Macaca fascicularis: one gene and its partners. The protein of the gene in region 3 interacts with the protein of the main gene of each other region in a pairwise test. Links are inferred from orthologs where the notes say so. Each region holds a gene or a part of one and is shown on either strand. Other genes may lie near its edges.

Region 1 (3,902 bases), on a different chromosome or scaffold from region 3:
TGTTTCCAATCCCAGCTTCACTGCTCAACAGGAATATCACTTCATTAGGTTAATTAATCTCTCCAAAAGTAAGTTTCTTAATTTGCAGAATCAGAATGATATTGCTTTCTCCAAAATATCCTAAGAATTAGAAAAATAAAATTCCTAGCCTTTTTGTATGTGTGGCCCATGAACCCATGTGAGTGTGGGCTCCCACATGAAATTTCAATATAAAGTTGAAAATAAATAACCTAAAAACCACAGGGTGTAGGGGAGTTGAAGGCAGGTGGGGACAAATGTGGACTCTGGATTCATTGTGAGTTCTAGTCCTAGCGCCTTCTCTTATTAACCTGTATGAGCTATGGAAAGTCCATTACCTACATTATTCCTGTGTTTCCTCCATGGTGCAGAGGCAGTTCTTGCCTGCCTGACAGGCCTGTTGTGAGGATTAGATAAAAGGAGAAAAATACACGTCAGGGCTCATGTACAATGTCTCACTCTTTAAGTGCCCACAAAGCATCTATTAATTTTGATAAAATGTAGAAACTTAAGGAAATTATTTTTGGTTTTTATTCCCATAGGATGTGATTATGGACAATCTTACTGTTTTGTTTTTTATGCTTTTCTATATTTGTGCATGTTTTTGAAATAAACATGAGTTAAAGACAAAACCACAAACTTCACAAATTTAGGAGTAATCATGAGTAGCGATTTTTCCCACCCCATTAGGGGAAACAGTTATATCTGTGTATACTGTAAAACAGAGAATTGTCTCATTCCCAACCATACTGCTTTGTTAAAATGATAACGTACACTTCCAGAAATGATTGTATCACAAGAATCTTTAATGTTTACTTTAAAGTTGACTCACGGTGGGGTTGTATATGTGTTTAGTAAAGTGTGCCAAGTGCTCTCACATTGAGACCAGTCCAGTTCAAATTAGTTTACGCCACGAGGATGTTTTCAGTCCCCAGCAAGGTCATGAGGGCCTTGACATTTCTTGGTTAGGCCGGCTTTGCTGGTGAGTTTTTCCAAACTCTGCAGGAGCAGTCTACCCCAACACACATCTCAGTCCCATGTAAATTAATAAGATGGAAACGTTCTCAATGTACTTCATCAGTTTAGCACGTCTCTGATACAAAAATCCAAGAAAGGTACCACAAAAGCGAAAGCACCAACCAAGCTTACATATAAACAAACATGCATACATCCTAAATACTACACAATAGTACCCAAATGAATACAACATTGCATTAAAGGTATAAAAGCACTGTACTGGAAACGTAAAAGTTACACGTGAATACTGCACTGTAAATCCTGAACACTCTAATGACCCACCCCCACCCTTCCACAGCCCTGGTGAGGATCAGAAAGCATTCATCTGCCTCCAGACTTGGCTAGTCCTCGGAGACACTGCTGCGAGGGCAGTGGGCAGCGGGATTAGCCTCCCGCAGAGCTCTGGCCTCCTCTAGAGCCTCTCTGTATCGGGAGGGCCAGGCCTGGGGGTCTTTCTTAAAGACCCTGGCCAGGAACTCCATGATTTGCAGCTTGGTGATTTCGCGGCTGGCCCGGGAGCCCCAGAAGAACTCGTACTCGGGCGGCTCCACGTACGGGACGCGCTGGTACTTCAGGTAATTCTGCTGGACGAACTCCTCAGTGATGAGCTTCCGCACGTCCCCGAAGGTGGAGTGCTTCTTCCAGGGCCGCAGCCCCAGGATGCGGAGCACGTTCCAGACCGCGCTCTCTCTGGCGCCGCGGCCCTTCACGTAGATGAGGCTCAGGATCATGAGGAGGAGACCTGTCATGGGCATGCGGTTGCTCAGCGCCACCCTGTCCAGCTCCTCGGGCTCCAGCGCTTTGACCAGCGCAAACTCCATGGTGTGCAGGCTGGTTAGCCTCAGGTGCAGCCCGAACACCCGGGCGAGGATGAGGCTGGTGCGCCGGAGGATGCTCCTGCACCACTTCTTGTAGCTGCCGATGACATCTTTCACCATGTCTGGAAACCAGATGATCATCTTCTTCTGGTCCTTGACCAGCACGTACCACATGAGCTCGTGCGCCTTCTGCACCAGCTGCGCCGGGGCTGGCGGGGCCGGGCCGGGCTGGGCCGCGCTCGGGGCCTGGTGGGCGCGGCCCTCCTCCGCGGCCTGCTGCAGGGCCTTCGGGTCGTCCTCGTCGCTCGGGGCCTGGGGAGGCTGCGCGGCCTGCGGGGCGGCCGTCGGGCCTAAAGGAGGGCTCTGCGGCTCTGCCAGGGTCTCGGACGGAGGAACCCCCTCCGGAACCCCAGGGCTGCTGTGCACCTCGGAGCTGGGGGCCTCGGCTGCAAAGTTAGGGTCGCTTAGATCCTTACTTTGTTCTGACATATCTGCGCCGTCTGGCAAGGGCAGGGCCTCTGCGTCCAGGAGCTCTTCAAGCCTGCGCTCCCTCCGCGGATTCCTGGAGAGGAAGTGCGCGTTGCTGTGCGCGGCGCCTTCCGCAGCGGCGGGCAGGGCGGGGCGGCGGCGGGACGCGGCACTGCGCCTGCGCGACTGCGGCCTTGGCCAGCGGCTGGGGGCGGGCGGGGCAGCGCGGAGCCCCGACGGGGAGGGTCCCTGGCTAAGCTTCACCTGCGGAGAGAGCGATCCCGGGGTTTCCCGTTTGGGCTGAGGGGATCTAGGGCAGGAGAAGAGTGCGATGGATGCGTACTGGAGAAGGGGCCAGTTTAGGAGAAAGATGATAACTTAAGTTTTTGGGATGTTGGGGTCAAGTTTCTTGGGAAACGCTTACCTGATATATCCAGAATTAAGTTAAATATGAGCGTCCCAGAGAAAGGTCTGGGCGGCTGTGTAAACTTGAGCTTTATGCGAACGAGTGAGAGGAACAGTCGGGCTTGTCCAAGAAAATGTGTAAAGTGTATGTCTGAGGTTGGAATCCTGAGAAATTCCAATAAAAAATGATTGACTCCCTCCCTACCAAATCAGAGGGGTTGTAAGAAAAGGAGAAATGCAGCGTGTCCTTAACGTAATTTCCTGTCAACCCATGTGAACTATGAACCTTTTAAGTAGGCAGCGGACTTAGAGCATCATTAATGCTTTAGTGGGCATAAATTTGGGTTTTACATTTCCTTTGGGTCACTTTGATTCCATTTTATTTTTTTCCATACTTAGTCCATAGCAGAAGGATTGCTATATCTTTTAGCACAAACTTGTATGATAATGTCTTTTTCCCTCTGCCCAGCACCCTTATTCTCCGATTCACCTTCTCCCAGGACCCTCTCTGAAGCTACTGAGTCCTCCACGTTGGAAGCCACACCCAAGTCCTTCCTGAGATTTAAAAAAAAAAACAACTAGGTCTCATAGGTAATATCTGGTAGTGTCTCTGAGATGACCCAAGGGTAGCAGGGGCAACATGGGTAACCCTGTTTTCCAAGTATAGAAGACAGATTCCCACTGGGCAAAGACAAAACTCGCTCCTACAGGCTCTCCATGAAAAAAGGGTCATTGGTGGAGCCTCTGAAACCAAGGGCCTTGATGCTGCTTCAGCATCCTTGGTCTGGGCTGATGTGGTCCTTCAGCGCTTCCAGGGTTTCTTCTCATCAGTAGCTTCTTAAATATGTTGAGTCTAATTATTGCCACTCGAAGCCAAAAGCACATTTAAAAATTGTCTTAACATGTCTAGAGTCCTCGCTGTGAGTATATATCTTTTCCCACTTGTCACTTTATTTTTCCTCAAGCAGGTTGATGTTGAAGGGTTTTCTGTGCTCTCTCTCTTTGGGTTTGCATGCACATAACACTTTTGGCAGAGCCATTCCCACACCAGTCCTTCCAACAGGCTCTTTAGCTTCCCACTTCACCAGGGTAATTCCTAGATATCAGTCTTAGTTGGAATTATTTCAACACTTTTCTCCTTCTCCTCTTCCTCCTCCACCTCGTCCTTCTTCTCTC
Region 2 (4,653 bases), about 24 Mb from region 3:
GGTCCCCAAGACCCAGAGCTGAGAAGGTATCAGGGAAGTGAAAGATTTAGAACTTCAAACACCTGTCTTTCAGAAGTCACCAACCCATAGTGCCAAGGATGCCCCTCCTCCTTCAGCTGCAGGTTCTTTGAAGCCCTCAGCCCCCTGCTAAGGCCTCAGAGAGAAGGCATAGCCCGCAGCCGCAAGAATGGTAGAGCAAAACCGTTTCAAGGGGCAACGAGACAGTTCCTAAAGAAAAGGGACGTCGACGGGTTCCTCCCCCAGCGAGCCTGGCCCAGGCGTTTCTGGGACCAGCTCCAGAAGCCTCGCCCCCGCTCGCAGCAGGTCTGACCCCATCCCCCATCGTCCCGCCCCGCCCACCTCTACCTTCGCCGCGCGGACAGAAGCCCCGCCTCTCACCGCTGCTCTTCAGCGTCCGCGCTCCCATTAGGCCAATCCCCAGCCGCCTGCCCCGACTTTTGACAGATCCTTAGAAGTCCCTTCCCCGCACGTGGCCCAGCCCGGGGATATCTGCTCCCCTTTTGCCCCCAGTTTGGCTTAAAAGGGTTCCTTCCAACCACCTTGTGTCAGGAGCTCTCAGACGCCAGTGCAGCCCAGGCGGCCGGGCCGGGCTTTGGGGAGACCCCCGAGTGCGGGGAGGAGGTGTTGCCGGGGCCCTGAAAGCTTCCAGACCCGCTCAGTGTAAACCGCCTCGGGTTTGTGTCAACATCCGAGGCCGGAGACTGGCGGCGGCTGGGGACCGGCTCTGTCTACGGGACGGGAAGACGGGAGGGTGGGGAATGGAGGATCCATGGGTAGGCATAGGGGTCCTTCTGGGGGAGAACGCGAGAGGCCTCTTTGGGGTCCGTGAGAAAGGAGGAGGGCCCGTCTGGGGAGGGACCGGAATGAAGGGCTGGAGGGGTGGCTGGAGGGAACCCACGACTAGCGCGGGGCTAGGTAGAGTCTGGGGACTTCGCCACCCATACCAAGCTCTTCGCGCGCACCCAGCACCTTCTTCTCTGCCCCACGGCGTGAAGGGAGTGGGTGCGTGGGGAGGGGGGACGCAGTGGCGTGGACTGCTGACCACCCCCCTCCTCCCTCTCCCACCCAGCTCCTCCGCAGCTCCTCATTGCCCCCCTCCAATTTCGGCTGGGATATGGAGGGGGGGGTCTCATCTGTGATTCATCCCCTCTTCCGCCCCCACCCATACTGGGGCCCAGGAAAGGAAGCTTAGAGATTCGGCTGTGGTTCTCCCGTTTCCATAGCAACGGTGAGGTTGTTTTTGAGAATCCACTTCCATCGTCGACCCTTTTCACCCCAGACCTGTAAGCCGGGGGCTGAGCCTCAGGGCAGGGGTGCAGATGGGGGTGCAGCCCTCCCGCTTCCCGGCGAGTCCGGGAAGGTCAGCGCGGGCAGGCGGGGCGCGCTCCTGCGGCCGGGCCTCGCTGGCCACCCGGTCCCCACCTGAAACCCCGCCTGCCACTCCGCTCCAGAGGAGCCAATAGCCGTGCAACCTGCCCGGGATGGGGCGGGGCTTATGCAAAACGTGTCGCCTTCGGGAGGCACATAGTGATACAAGATCTGGGAGGCGGCTCCGGCGCGGACCTCGGAGAGCACAGCTGCCGGCCCGGGAGCCAGTCTCGGTCCCCGCGGCCCGCCGAGGCTCGGAGCCATCCAGCGACCCGGCGAGCGGCCTCAGGTAATGCGAGTGGGACCGGATCCTCAAGGCAACAACCCCACCCGGTGGAGGCCCTGACCCCCTCCCCCTCCACTCTCCCTTCCCATCCTCATGTCCTGCCCTGATTCAACTCCCCGACCTGTGGTTCCGCCTTAGGCGGCAGCAACTGAAGAACCCACCCCTGGGCAGGAGACCGCCCACCTCAGTCCAGGCCCATGGGTGCAGAGGAGGAGGCAGAGCTGCCTCCTTATCCCCAGCTCAGGTGAGAACAACCATTGCTCTGGCCCCCAACATAGACGCGTACACACACACACGCACACAGATGCACACACATACATCTGGGGGTGTGGTGGCGCTGGTGCTAGCTCCAGGCGCTGGTCACCCTCCCTTCTGTTTGGATATGGGTTGTCTGTCCAGCCCCATGGCAAACTCCCACCTCCACAGATAGCCCCTAGCCACTTTTCATCAGGGAGCCCCTGCCCCCAAAGACAGCCTCCCCCTCCACAGAGCGCTGCCTTCTCCTTGTCCCCAGACACTGTCCCCACTTACCACCCCTCAAGCTGACAGAGACCACAGCATACCTGAGGGAGGGACAATGCCCCTTCCCCAGTTTTTCTCCTCACAGACAGTCTCGACAGCCCTCCTCAGTGGCCCCCAGTGCTAGGCAGAGGCCCCATATTTGGCAACTCTCATGCTGGCAGGAGGATGAACCAAGGACACCACGCCCAGCAGACCACCCATGCCCTGTCAGTCCAGTTGCTGCCAAGGCCCCAACCTCCATACCTCCTCCCTCCCTGCTCACAGCCAGGCACCAAGTCCTCTCATTCTGCCTGTCAAATATCTCTCTAATTTGTATGACTATTTGCTCCCTCTCTCCATCTTCCTGCTGCTCCGTGGGGACCCTGCCAAAGTGCCATGTGGGCTGTGTTGCTCCTGGCCCTAAAGTGGACTGTACCTGGAGGGCAGATGAGCTGGGTTCAAATCTTGCACAGCCAAAGTTTGACTTTGGCCAAGTCACTTCCCTCTCTGATCCTTCATGAAAATGGGGAGGAGTATAAGAGAGAGGGTAGACTGGGTGAGATGAACTTGAACAGCCTTCTGGTACTAAGACACCCTGGTTCTATGGCTGATTATGGAAAAACAGAACCCTGAACCAAGAGGACATTAAAGAGAGGAGGCCTGAGGGGGGCGGGGTTGGTTTAGAACTCACTGAAGGCACATTCTTTCTTACCTAAGCCTAGGTACAGGCTACCTCCTCCTACACACTCTCTAGGACCCTTCTATTAGGAGTCCCTCCTAGACCACTAGCCCATCCTGACATGGACAGCTCCAAATTGAAGGTGACCATCAGGGCTTACTCTTTGTTTGTCATCCCCCGCCTCTCATTAAGAAGGAGAGGGAAAAGACCTGGTTGCTGCTGCTATTGCTGCTGCTTGGGGAAGAGCAAAGGGAGGAGAGGAAAAAGAAAATCTCCTGACCAGGGAGCTACTGTCACTATGGCAACCGCCTCAGCACCCGCTCCTCTGAAGCTGGGTGAGGGTGTGGGATTATTGCTTCCTTCAGTCCCTCCCATTCAAAGCCTCAGCCACCTCTCCATTCAAGCCCCACAGCCCTTAGCCCTCTTGAAGAACCCTCTGGGCATGCTGGGGCAGTGGTTTTGTGTATGGGGCAGTCTCAGCTCCTTCACAGCTGGAGGATAGCCCTCAAGAAGTAAGCAGAGAAGCCTGCCCAGGGTCAGCAGGGCCACAGCTCCAGCAGAGCATTGTCCCCAGCTGGGTTCTGGCCTTCACTTTGCTGCTGATGGGCTATAGTCGACCTTGGGTGAACCCTTCCTTTCCCTAGGTCTGGGTTCCATTGTCTCTGAAGTGGGTGTGAGAGCAGAAGAACGCAGATAAACAAAACAGCCTGACATAGATCCAGGGAGGAAGAAGGGGTTTCTGCTCCTCTTATGTAATCCACCAAGAGACATTCATTGAACATCACTGTGTCCTAGGCATTGCCACTATGTCTCCGCAGGGCAGTTCTGTGTAGGCACAGAAGGCAGGGTGGGAACCAGGGTAGGGGAGCTATAAGAGAGAAAACCCCCTGCTTTTATGGGTCCCAGACCCAGTGAGGACTAAGCACTCAACTGAGAGAAGTGAGTGCATAGGGAAAAGCACTTTTATTTCCCCCATGGGAAAAATAAACTTTTCTCACCCTTCAACCTGCTCAAAAGTGGACTGGGGCATATTGGAGGGGATCAACTCCTTGCCATTGAGCAAAAAGGTCTGGAGAGTTTTTTTCTGACTCAGACAGGGGTTTGATGCAAAGACCTGTCTCAAGTCAGACTGCATCCTGGGATTCTACAGCACCAGGTGAGGGTCAGAGAGCTCTGAAGTCTACATGCTTGTGGGGGACTGACTCATGCCCAAAGTGCTCAGCCCAGGCTGCTGACTCTCCACTGTCCAGACTGGAAAAGGCTGATCATAAGGAAGCAGGCTTCAACCAGGCCCTGAAGACTGATTATAGCCCAGGAGAGAAGAAAGGATATTAGGGGAGAGGAAAATAGCTTAGCAAAGAGGTGAGGCGTGTCTGGCTGTGAGAAGGCTGGCTTGAGAGGAGTATTTGGTGGTGAGGTAAGCAATGAGAGCTGAGGCTAGATAGGTGGGCACTTTGAGACCAGATTCTAGAGGATTCTGGAGCTTCAGGGGACCCATGGGCATGGCTACTTCTAGCTTATATTGTACCTTTTGGGGGGAAAAAGCCATTCCCTCCTAACAGAGGAATCAAAAGAAAGGCACTTCCTGCCAGGCAGGGAAGCCCCATGGGCAAGAGCATAGTTTGACTTCAGCCCCTCGGCTGTGTCACTGGCTATGGACATAATGAAGGTACCAAGAGCATTTCAAAATAAGAGATAACAGGACTTGATGGCAAGTTAGACCTAGGGCAAAGGGAAGAGAAAAAATGAAGGTAGCTAAGATTGTGTTCCCCATACCCCAGGGATGAGGGAGAGAAGG
Region 3 (4,701 bases):
TGTAATCCCAGCACTTTAGGAGGCTGAGGTAGGAGGATGGCTTGAGGCCAGGAGTTTGAGATAAGCCTGGGCAACATAGTGAGAGCCTATCTCTATTATAATATATACAATATTAACATTAAAAGTAAAAATGAGAGCGATAGCTAATATGTACGAGTGCTTACTATGTGTTGGGTACTGGTCTGAATGCCTTACATGAATTAAGCCATTTAGTCCGCCCAGCAACCCTATGACATCAATAATATTATAATTCCCATTTTAGAGATGGGAACACTGAGATACACACACAAGGTCAAGTCACTTGCTGAGGTCACAGAGCTAGTAAATGGTGGAGCCCTGCTTCCTATACTGCACTCCTAGCCTCTCTACCAAGTATGCAGATGCTAACTGCTGCCAATGCTGGGATGGGGTGATTTTCCCAGGTGTGGCCTGACCTAGGTTTTGGGGTTTGGCTGGATGGCCCCGGCTGGGTGCAAGCTCTGGGCTCAGTATGGGCATCAGCCTGAGGCCTGCAATCCTTGGCCTTGGCCAAGGGTGGACGCACTCCCTTCACCCTTCCTTCTGCAGCAGTGCCTACCTGGCCTAGGAGGCACTCAGCACTCAGAGGCTGCGATTAGCAATCGATTGCCGGTGCAGGGGCCAGGTGGGGGCACAGGAGCCCACAGGAGCCTGCAGCTCCAGGAGAGTAAACAGGTGCAGGCACCAGGGCCGAGGGCTGGCTGTGAGTGCAGAGACTGAGGCCCCAGCCTGTGGAGTCAGCATGCTGTGGTTTAAATCTTGGCTTATCCTTTCCTAGCTGTGTGGCCCTGGACAAGTCTCTCCACTGCCCTCTGCCTCTGTTTTCCCACTCGTAAGACGGGGACTGTGTTCATATATAACCCAAACTAGCTTTATCTGCCTAAAACTTTCAGACTAGTATGCGCTCGGAGAGCATCAGTGAGGAGGAGAGAGCTGGGTGGGTCAGTGATGCAGCCACCCAGAGTCTCTGGGACCCTGGCCGTCCCCTGCCCACGTGGCTCCCCATACTATTTTCACCTCAATCCAACTTTTTGGGTGCATGTTGAGACTGTCAAGGGCCCCATCTTCTCAGGAGGGGGACAAGGCTGGACTATACAACTAGATCTGGGGGGCACTGGGGAAGCCCAGGCTGCAGAAGGAAGGGTGGAGGGAGCGCATCTTGGCTGCTGTGGCCCCAAAGAGCCCTGGCAGAGGGGGCAGTGGAGGGACCCCCAGGTGTGGGGTCAGAGGACCTGGGCCCCAGCCTCTCAGGGTGACCTTAGCAGGCGTCTCTTCCTCTTCAGCCTCTGTCCCGTGCTCAGTGGGTCCTCAGCTCAAAGGCCAGTCCACTGGGGCTGGGATCCCAAGGTGCCTGGCATGGGGTGGCCAAATGAAGGGGAAGGGACCTGGCCACTGAGGAAACACTCAGATCCCCTCCACCTGGAGCCAGAGACTGCCTAGAACCTTTGGGGTTTCTGGAGCCTGGTGCTCCTAAAGAATCCTTAGCACTCCTCACTCTTCAAACTCCCTTCCCCTCCTGCTAGGCTGCAGGCCTCATGGACTAGGTGCTGTGCTGGGTTCCTTGCTGCTGGATGCCCAGCATGCACACGGTGCCTGGCACATGGCAGCTATCATGTTAATATCAGCTTAATGCATAGATAAGTAAAGGAACCTCACACAGCCTAACCCTGTACCTTCCCCTTCCCCAGCCGCGATTCCTCCCAGAGACATCCTGAGCCACTTACCTGAATGCCCACAGGAACTCCTGAGGGGAAGGGCGTTATGCTCCCTGCTCAATACCCCCAGGACAAGGTCCCCTCTATTCTGGGTAAGCTACTAGGGTTGATGGGTGTGGTGGTGGTCAGTGGGTTTGGCCTCAGCCTGCAGAGCCTGAACCAAGGCCAAAGCCACCCCCACTCCCAGCCACACCCCCCTGATCCCACTGTGGGGTGAACAGACCAAGGTGGGAGAAGAGCTCAGCCCAATCGCTTGTCTAAAATGTTGCCCAGCGGCCTGTTGGAAAGCTGGTGGTGATGGGTGGGGGTGGAGGTAGGGGGCTCCAAAGACCAACCTGCCCATCCCCCAATCTCTGTGCAAGACTCTGTGTCCCCTACTCACCGATAGAAGAGGCCAGGGCCTGCCCTGGTCCCCCAGGCAAGGGCAGGTCCCTCCACCTCCCTGGGTACCACCTCAGGGAGAGCAGAGGGTGACAGGTCAGACACAAGAGAGAAAGACCCAGGCGGTAACTGGGAACATCAGCTGTGCTCTGGCCCTTCTGTCCCCTGACCAAGGATGGGGGTGGGGAGGAGGATTAGGGATAAGGGTGGGGGCAGGGGAACCTTCTTTATAACCTGTTCCCCACCATTAACCCTTTCCTGACAACAGCGTTCAGGGACTCTGCAGATGGGGGCACCCGGTAAGACGTGGGAAGGGGCTGTGGGGGTGAGCTGGCAAGGCCTGTGTCTTGGTGAAGGGTGGGACGGGGAGGGTCTGCTAGTTCTCCCCGTGCCCCGCAGTTCCTCCGCGAAGCCAGGAAGAACCGGAGCCTCCCTCCCCTCCCAGGCACCCGGCAGGGGGTGTGTGGCTGTAGGGATGAGAGCGCGGCACTGGACCCTGCTTCGTGTCACCTGCGGGGCTGCAAACCGGGGCGGGGATGCAGTGAGCTCTGCACGTGCACTCTTTGGGCTGCTCCCCGCCCCCCACCGTCCCCAGCCCTGTCCCCTTCAGGACGCCGCGTCCTCGGGGGTGCGGCCGGGCTGTGAAGGGCGGGTCACCAGCCCCACCCCCCAGGTCTCCCAGCGGCGAGGGGACTGTACCGGTCCCCGGCGCCCGATCCCCCCACCCCCGGCCGAGCCCCCTCACCTCGCGACACGCAGGAGCCCATCACGGGGCCGCGGGGCCGGGCCGCTGCGCCCGGGGTGCGTGAGGCCGCGGGGCGTTCATGTCTCCGCGGGCCCGGAGCTGAGCACTGCGCAGTCAGAGGACGCGCCGGGCGGGGGGCTCGGGCGCCCTTGGCTTGGCCTCAACTACAGCCCCGGTCGTCCCCGCTGCCGCCGCGCCCGGCTCGCCTCGCGCCGCCGCCTCCCGCGCCGCTGCCTCCCGCGCAGCGCCCGCCGCTGCCAGGGGAGGGCGACACCGCGGGGCGCGGCGGGCGGGGCCCGGGGGAGCGCAGCCCGGAGGCCTGGGCGCACCTGTGGCCGCGGCGCGCAGGAGGGCCACTTCTGTCCCTTCGGGCCTCCCGCACCTCCAGGGATTGCCCGGGCTGAAGGTCAGGGAAGGGGAAGGAGGGGGCGGGGAGACTCCTGGCATTTGGGGCACAAAGTAAACAACATGAATTTAACCACAACAGCGACGACTGGGCACGAGGGCTTGGGGGCGAGGAGGGGTGTGCACAAGAACAACAGTTCCGTTGGGCCCATTTTGCAGAGGATGAAAGTGAGCCTCATAGAAGTTAGAGGCCTTGCCTGAGAGCCCTAAACTGTGAGTTCAGCGACTTTTGACTGTCAACGCCTCATTCAGAGCGATTGAAATTAACATACGCAAAATAATATATGCCCAGAGGTGGGGTAGAGAGAGTGGGGGTAGATAGTGCGCTGGCGGCCTGGCAGCTGGATGAAGGTCTCCAGCGATGGTTGAAGAGGGGGGCAAGGCTGCCTCTCAGGGCTTGTCTAGGGCAAAGTAAACTGAGGCATGGGTTTTTTTCCCCAGCCCTGGACGGCCTCTGTAGTTATTCACACTCACACGCACATGCCTACACACACACTCTCCCATGTGTACATACCCTCATTCACACACTGATGGTCATACACACACATATATATGCACACTTGCATTCACACACAGGCACGCACACTCACATACCTACACATGAATACACACAGTCTCCCATGTGTACATACCCACTCACACCCGCACAATGACAGTTATACACTCACATTGAAGCACCCTTGCTTTTACACACACACACACATCCCAGCTCCTAAGGTGTGAACATCCTTTAGCAAAATTTCCCATGTGCACAGCACTCAGTGTCAGCATCTGAGACCCTCACTCTCACACGGCATCTCGCTCTCTCCTTCACGCCCACCTGTGCATCAGGCAGGGCAGGCACTCTTGTGTCTGTTTTCCAGTTGAGGCAGCCAGGTTCGCTGGTGGCGGCAGAGAAAGGTTTTGAAGAATGAATAAGGAAGGTCCAGGCGCCGTGGCTCACGCCTGTAATCCCAGCACTTTGGGAGGCCGAGGTGGGCAGATCACCTGAGGTCAGGAGTTTGAGACCAGCCTAGCTAATATGGTGAAACCCCGTCTCTACTAAAAATACAAAAACCAGCCAGGCATGGTGATGGTGGGTGCCTGTAATCCCAGCTACTTGGAAGGCTGAGGCAGGAGAATCGCTTGAACCCAGGAGGCGGAGGTTACAGTGAGCCAAGACCATGTCATTGCACTGCAGCCTGGGCTATAAGAGAGAAACTCCGTCTCAAAAAAAAAAAAAAAAAAAAAAAAAAAAAAAAAAAAAGCTGGATATGGTGGCACAAGCCTGTAATCCCAGGTGGAGAGCAGTTCTGTGCCTGACCCTGGTATCAGCAGACCTGGGTGAATGAGGGCTTAGCTCACACAAGCTGTGTAACCTCGGGTAAGTTGCTTCGCCTCTCTGAGTCTCAGTTTTTTCATCTGTTAACTTAGGGTAAAAATCTCACCTCATGGGAT

The links.
Region 1: the proteins of FAM131C (region 3) and NDN interact in a two-hybrid assay, tested with the Homo sapiens proteins (2 studies listed by BioGRID and IntAct). The link is inferred for Macaca fascicularis from reciprocal best matches to the Homo sapiens genes FAM131C and NDN.
Region 2: the proteins of FAM131C (region 3) and HPCAL4 interact in binary tests that used the Homo sapiens proteins (3 or more experiments, as listed by UniProt). The two-hybrid records come from large-scale screens. The link is inferred for Macaca fascicularis from reciprocal best matches to the Homo sapiens genes FAM131C and HPCAL4.

What each region holds. Positions count from the first base shown.
Region 1 is NC_088381.1:5,296,302-5,300,203, reverse strand, and holds NDN (necdin), read right to left. Parts: upstream 2,431-3,902; 5' UTR 2,343-2,430; coding exon 1,377-2,342; 3' UTR 804-1,376; downstream 1-803. UniProt on the Homo sapiens protein: Growth suppressor that facilitates the entry of the cell into cell cycle arrest.
Region 2 is NC_088375.1:195,208,174-195,212,826, forward strand, and holds the start of HPCAL4 (hippocalcin-like protein 4), read left to right. Parts: upstream 1-1,550; 5' UTR 1,551-1,678; intron 1,679-4,653. UniProt on the Homo sapiens protein: May be involved in the calcium-dependent regulation of rhodopsin phosphorylation.
Region 3 is NC_088375.1:219,027,823-219,032,523, reverse strand, and holds the start of FAM131C (protein FAM131C), read right to left. Parts: upstream 3,106-4,701; 5' UTR 2,882-3,105; coding exon 2,860-2,881; intron 1-2,859.